Drosophila melanogaster: one gene and its partner. The gene in region 1 interacts genetically with each later gene. Each region holds a gene or a part of one and is shown in the gene's direction. Other genes may lie near its edges.

The links. A genetic interaction does not mean that the proteins touch.
Region 2: of Dg (region 1) and CG6700, changing one enhances a phenotype caused by changing the other (phenotypic enhancement), as found in Drosophila melanogaster (one study listed by BioGRID).

What each region holds. Positions count from the first base shown.
Region 1 is NT_033778.4:16,096,594-16,100,350, reverse strand, and holds the start of Dg (dystroglycan), read left to right. Parts: upstream 1-1,786; 5' UTR 1,787-2,223; intron 2,224-3,757. Other genes in the region: CG8414 (uncharacterized protein), read left to right, coding at 1-657, 716-981; mRpL34 (mitochondrial ribosomal protein L34), read right to left, coding at 1,050-1,272, 1,336-1,358.
Region 2 is NT_033779.5:10,840,828-10,844,584, reverse strand, and holds the start of CG6700 (uncharacterized protein), read left to right. Parts: upstream 1-1,987; 5' UTR 1,988-2,204; intron 2,205-2,311; 5' UTR 2,312-2,396; coding exon 2,397-3,718; intron 3,719-3,757. Other genes in the region: CG17139 (uncharacterized protein), read left to right, coding at 1-135; CG17140 (uncharacterized protein), read left to right, coding at 293-846, 915-1,145, 1,204-1,504.

The sequences.
Region 1 (3,757 bases):
CCCTTCTGGGACCGGGCTTCCTGTACAACAGGCAGCCGGAACATGCCATTGTCGTGGGCCACACCAACATTGTCTTGTGCGCAGAGCAGTATGCCCGAGCAGTTATTCAGCTAGTCCAAAACATTCAGAACGATGCCAAGTATTCAAATATTCCTTGGCTGATAAATACGATGGGCTATAATAAGGGATTTGGTATCGAATTGATGGCTCTGCTGGTGGATCGCATTCGTCCCACGGATCTTGTACAGATTGCCAGTCCCATTCCAATCAATAACTTTGATTCTGTCCTCGACCGGAACAGTCTGTCGCAGATAAAACCAATTATATACTCTGCGGAGGAGTTCAAGATCAATGAAATACCAAAATACACACTCCATAAGCTGATAAGTGCAGTGCCTGCAAGGGAAAAAGGAACTTGGAGTCTCAGCGCCAAGGACATGCGGTACTCCAATCTTCTGGCACGTCTCAGTTCCTGCCTGACTGGAAATGCCAAATCTCTTACAGACTGCCAGCCGTTGGGAGTGTCTTTGGAATCCCTGAAAATCCTGCATCCCACCAGCAAGAATTACTCGCGCGAAGAACTGATTCGAGGCATGGAGGCTAATGTAGTATATCTGTGCCATCACGGAGCAGGTCTGCCCCAATGTTTGGGAATAGGTTTGTACACATTCACGTTCTTTTGTGGCTTATTAATTGAATTCCAAAATTCTTTTAGGTGTGGTTCGCGCCATCGACTACGAGCGCAAGGAGTTATACCTGGTGCCAGCAATGCCGCTACAAAAGATGTCCCTGGTGGATTGTCTTATCCTCGGCGGGGAACAGTCCCTGCCGCAGGGCTTCCTTCGGGATCAGGGCCAAGGTGTGTCCAGCAGTGTGCCCTTCGTGTTCATCCTTGACGATTCGAAATCTTCGAAGAGTATTCAGCAGATCTACCATCGAGCGCCAGCCTTTCTGGGAGTACCAGCGAATCAACGAAACTAAAACTGAGCTTACTGTAGCAATCGCAATCGGATAACATTGTAAATAAAGTTAGGTTTATTAACACAAGGCTAGTGTGACAAATTGTGACGTCCTTTGAGGATCCGGTTCATCAGCACTCGTCGTCCCTCAGGCGTCGACATCCTAGCATTCCAGCCGTGGACATTAATTCTCTTCACCTCCATGGGTTTCGGAAAATGGCAGCGTACTTTCGGTTTCAGCACCGCCCGGTTGAAAGCGTGCTTATCCCGCACGATTAGAGTTTGTGCGGTGCTGACAACCGCCAGGCAGGTCCTGCAATGCCAATGTATGTTATTATACCACTCAAAATAAATGGTATATTCATTATTTACTCGCCTTTGGAGCATTCCTTGCAGCATGTTAAGTAATTTCCAGTTAGTATGACCGCATGAAGTCCGAATAATACCGCCTGAACAGCCGGTAAGCCGCTTTGGCGTTGCCAGACCATTGGGTTCGAAATTTCGAACTTAGCTGCATGCTATTTTACGTTAGCATGTAAAATGCATTACATATAGATGGAATCATACAATTAATCTAAAAAATCGTCATAATATTGGTCAAATGGAAAACCACCATATGGGGACAAATTAGATAAACCGCTTTTAATTGAATGGATCTGAAAGTAACCGAAAACTTTTTAAATATGGAATGAATATGTTTGGTTGTACATATATCGAATTGGTATTGTGCCATCTCTAGCTACCCACGATGGTTGTGGCAGCGCAGCTGTTGCAAATGAATCCACAAGATACATTTCGGTATATTTTCCGCAACGGATTCTTTTCCACCCTCAGTTGCGGTCACACTGCCTAGCCAACAACAACCACAACTCGGTGCCGTTAGGGCTGCGTTTGTTTTCTGCTCCCATTCAGCTGCATAGAAAAGAAAGAAAAGTGAAAAGTGTTCGGAAAACAGGCAGCATGTGAAGCATAATTACTCCACGGAATTACTATCTCAAACGAAATAGTTGTCGCCGAAAAGAAGTGCGTAAAATCGCGAGTGAGCTCGTGAAAATAGAATAAAAAAGCGCTCTGCAATTGAAGAGAAACATTGCTGCAGTCGTGTGTACGTGCGTGTGTTTGTGCGTGCGAGTGTGAGTGTCGCTCTCTGGACGCAATTTCTTTGGCCAAAAGAGTGGGGAAGTGGGGCAGGAGAGTCCCGAATCGAATCCCCGAAACAGGCAATCCGAATCCGAATCCGGTGCATTAAAAATAGCGCAACGAGGTGAGTAAAGATGCAAACTGCAGCATTCAGTTCACGAGCTGATGCCAACAAAAAGAACTCCAATTAGCCATGTCTGCAGCCAGCCAAAAAAATAATGAAGAACGGCAGAAAAAATACAACAAGAAAATCGATTTTCCTGAACTTACAATTTTCTCCGCCTCACTGGGCAAAAGGGGGGGCGAAATGGAGCTTGGGGAGCCGGCTACGGCTCCATAAAGTATACATAAATTGAATTTCGAAACACGGAAGCGAAATGGATGCACTGGACGAAATAATGAATAAATTATTTTGATATCGAAAAGTTATTCTCGTTAGAAAAAGTTTCGCTGAGGGTCTCGAACGCAGTCTGTTTTTATAAAAGCATATTATTTAGCCTTATCAAGCAAGAGGATGAATAAAATTGCATTAAAATGTATTTCGACTAAATTTCGACTTGCTATACTTTATTTCTCTGCGTGTAAAAGGGGGCAGGAGGCTGCACACGGCTGTTGTTCTTGTTTTGTTTGCTGGTGTGGATGATGATGGAAATACTTGCATATGTGTGTGCGTTCTGCACAGAGGGAGATGTAAAAATTGAAAAATCTGACCAGAAGCAGGACCCTCCGACTTTTGGTCCAGTTGTCATGGCCACCGCACTTAACAAATGATTTTAGCGGCCACTTTTTCCCGGATGCGAATGGGGCAGCTGTCACTCCGTTTGCCTCCTCCTCCTTTTCTCCTTTTTCTGATTTCATCTGTCTGCCCCTTTCTATCTTGCTCTCTCCCCGTGTTCTCCAACGTGTGTGTGTGTGTGTGCGTATTTTGATGACGGCACTCAGTTTCCGCCCGCACTGTGATTTTTGGCCATACACGGCACCAATGTTTCAGTACAGTGGAACCTGGTGCGCAGGAACCAAATGAAGTTAAGTTTAAAACTGCATTTACTGCGACCATTTATGAAATTTTTTAAATGAGTTACATTTCAGGTTCTTCTAGATTTGTTTTAATGTGAGTAAACAATTTCTGCTTTAAAACGTAAAACTCACATGTACATAATATACAATTGTTGGCAAAGCAATAAAAACTTATTACTACCATAAAAATAAATAGGTCGACATTTTCAGACGCAAGAACGCATAGAATGTGTGAACAATACGTACAATAGCTTATTGACACAATATTTAGCATTCAGCGGATTAACTCATCAACGTTGGTTTTTGATTGAATGTGTTATATTATCTATTTATGTACATATTATATTATATAATATTTCGGCATAGGCTTTAACTAACTTTATGCTTGCCACTGTTTAAACTGGCTTGGTTTATCATACGTTTTTCCCAATTCGCGAGTGCCTACTGTAGAAAATCCCCGGCATTACCACTCAGTTTTCGGCACTCTTTTGCGGATGCTGCGTACGCAAAAAGGGGACGTCGGCTGTTCTAAGAGGACTAGATGTTTCCTTTTCACTTCCGCCAGCACCCCTAAATTACGTGTCTCTGTGTGAGTGTCTCTGCACGTGTGTGTGTTGCGTGCAAGTGTGTTTGTGTGTGTG
Region 2 (3,757 bases), on another chromosome or scaffold:
GATTCCCGCATCGGGCTTATCTTTCAGAAAAAACTTCGCGAAGACATCGAAGTTCTGTTCCACGTTGGCTTCGAAGGAAGTGATCCCATCAATGGGAAGCACAAGTTCGGCTCATCATGGTACTTCAATATGTAGGATGGCTAGCAAACATACGTTTGTATTCATTTCTATGTCATGATGGGGAGAAACTGAAAAACAAATCAGAAGTTTATGTTTCCGGTGTCAGATCGTTTAATCAAAATTTTAAATTTATACCTATTTATTTTTGCTATTTTTTTAAAGTATTTTCAAAATGACAAATATGAAGCAACGGCTGCGCAACTTGTTTCGCCGGAACAAAATGCGCGCACGGCCCACTACAGTGGCCAGTGATGCGAATAAGGAGCAGCCGGAGCCACCTAAGCAGGAGCCAAGCAAACAGAAGAAAACTAAGCAGGATGCCTCCAAGCAGGAGCCACCTAAGCAGGAAGAGCCCGAAAAGCCACCCAAGGAAGTCGAAGTGGAGATAATACCCTCGCCAACGTCAGAGGGCGAAATGCCCACCTACTTCCATGTGGGCGCCTTGGCGAAGGATTGCCTCATCAATGGCTTCAAGATCGGCGCATGGCAGATGCACTGCAGCACGCGAACCGATAATGACTTCTATCTGAACACCTTCGGCGAGGGCTATCCCACCATGAAGAACGTATTTGGCGGCATGGAGGTGTTCAAGGAAGTGGGCAACTACAGCACGTCCCTCGGCTGGTTCACCAACAATGATCTTCTCTCGGAGATCGCTGTGCGCGGCATGAACTTTGGCAGTCGATTGTATGGACTGCTCAAGTCAACAATTGGCACAAAAGACGAGTGAGTGTCCTCCATTTTTTCAGAATTTTCTTAACAGCATTAAAAACTATGCAAATTAAACCCTGAAGAGTGAGCTTTCAAACGAAGCTGAAGTGCGGGTTGGAGCGCGATCCCGTGAAGGTGGAACTGGTGGTGCCTCTGTACAACGAACCCCTATTTCTGGGCTATGTCCTGGTGGCGCCTGTAGAGAATTGGGTGCTGGGATATCGAACGGAGTACAACTTTGACGAAAAGGGATTCGATAAGCACGCCCTGTGCCTGGGCTACAATAATGGGAGGACCGAAGTGGGTCTAAAACTGTAGGTTGTCCAATAGCTTATTTAATATAGCCAACATCCCATTATATTTTACTTGTAGCGAGAATTTCGAGGATCTTCGAGGCTCGATCTTCCAAAGGATCGGCGAAGCCTGGGCCTTTGCCATCAAGACGAATCTCTACAGTTCGGAAAATGTGAAACAGTTTGCCATTGGGGTTCAGTACGACTTCCAGAATGGCACCATGGTGAAGGCCAAGCTGCGGGAGGACTCCAGAATGGGGTTCGTCTACCAATCAAAGATTGGGGAGAACATCGATGTTGGCTATCACTTGGCCTTCGATGGAGTAGATCCCATTGGTGGAGCCCATAGGATTGGCGTTTCCTGGGGTTTTCACTGTTGAAAAGAATGGTTTACTATGTACTATGATTTTACTATACATGATTAATATAAATAAATAATTTGTATACAAAGTGTTTTTCTAACTTATCTGATCATGATTTTGGTGGTTTCCGTAAGTAAACTAAGTAAAACTTATTTTTAATTAATGGAATCTGAATACTGCAGCGTATTGTACCTTATATTTTAATGTTTTATTGTTCTACAACAGTCTTAATATTAAAAATCGATTTGAAATTAACGACAATTCCATTTTTAATTACATCGTAAATCCTTAAATCGTACATAGATACTTAGATTTTTTATTTTTTTAAATCCACGTCCAAAAAACGAAGAAATAAATAAATAGAAAACGTTCACATGTTCCATATTCCACAATTCCTCCGCTATTATGGCGCGCATCTTTTAAATTATAGGAATGGATTTTCGGCTCAGCAAGCTACGGCCACACTAGCACTGCGACATATCTAGTCATCGATTATTCTGTCTCCTTTTCTTTATACGAAAAAATAGTTCAACTGTTCGGACGTGTTTATATATCGTGAGAAAATAAGGCAAAAAATAGCGTATTCCGAGTGTTTTCGTGCGTATGCAGATATATTTTTGCACTGCGCCACCTTTTTAATAAGTTATTTTGGAGAAAACGGCGTTTCAAACGAGCAAATCGAAGCAAAAAGTGCCAGTTCTCGGTGACCAAGAAGTAGGTAAGAAATAAAAATGGCGTCACATGCCAACATTCACACACACACCCATACACACAGACTAATGCGCACATTTTTCCCATTTTTGGTACCCTTTGTCATGAAATCAGGGGCCGAAATCGCAAAAACCCAAAGGTAAGTTCAGGTAAAAAAGAAATTAGCAAAGAACCAAGAGAGGCAGATTGTGGGAGTACCATGTCAGATGCCATGAGTGCTCCGCCGCCCCTTATTCCGCAGCTGCAGGAGATGCAGCAACAGCAGCAGCAGAGCGCTAATCCCGCCCAGCTCGCCCAGCAGTGGAGCAATTACGCCTGGTATGCCAACCAAAATGCTGCTTACCAGCAGCAGTATCAGCAGTACTACCAGTACTACGTACGCTACCAGCAGCAGCAGCAACAGCAGGTAACCTCGACGGTCAGTACGTCAAATGCGCCGCCGGGCTTCAGCAATGCGTTGGCTGCACCGCCGCCTCTGCCCTCAGGGCCGCCCCCTCCGCCTCCGCCGCAAATAGGTCAGCCACCTGGCCAAAACAAACAACAACAACAACAACAACAGCAACAACAATTACAACAACAACAGCAGCAACAACAACAACAGCAGCAGCAGCAGCAAAAAAATTTCGGGGGAATACGTTTTAATTTGAATTTAAACCAAAAGCGTTTGGCCGGTGCTCCTAATCCCCTGCAGCAACAACAACAGCAGCAGCATCAACAACAACAACATCAACAACAGCAACAGGTCATGCAATTGTACAATAACAACAACAGCAACAAAAAGAAGCGCAAGCGGAATAACAAAAACAAGAACTTTGAGCAATCAACATACAGCAATCCGTTTGCCAATCAAACCCCAGCCACACCCCAAGCTCCACCGCCGCCCATCATTAGCGCCAGCGATGTAGGTGTACCAATTAATCCGGACTTGAGCAAACCACCACCTCCATTACCCCTGGCCATTGTGGCACCCACAGAGAATCCCCAACACCAGAAGCAGCAGCAGCAGGAGCACATGGCAGCACAAAGAGCGGGAGAGGCTACATCCCAAACATCAAATTTTAAGCGGCCAAACAGTTTTCAAATGGCTTCAAGCGACTCCTGGCCGAATTCCCTCAACCAATATGTTGCTCGTTGCTATTCAAAGTGCAACACTGATCTGGATAAGGATCAGATCGACATATGTCTGAAAGGCAAGATTATAGCGGCGGCCAATCGCAACGAGCTGTGGACACGCGATTGGGATAACGAGCCCATGCCGACGGTGTACAGCGAGAGAGACGGCATTGATGTGGTGCTAAGCAATGTGCCACCGCCGCAGCAGCAGCGAAGCAACTACTTTCAGAAGAAGCAAGAACAGGAGAGGGAGCGAGAGAGAGACCGCGAAGCGGATAAGTCACCTGCCAAAGGTTCCACGGGTATAGTGAATCAGTTCAAGCAGAAGGGCAATCAGTTCAACAAGGCCTCGTCCAGCTACGGTTCTCATCACTCTTCGTCGTCCAAGTACTCCAGGAGTCGGTCGCGGTGAGTTTTATGATCTCTATTGATCGAATTGAAACTGTG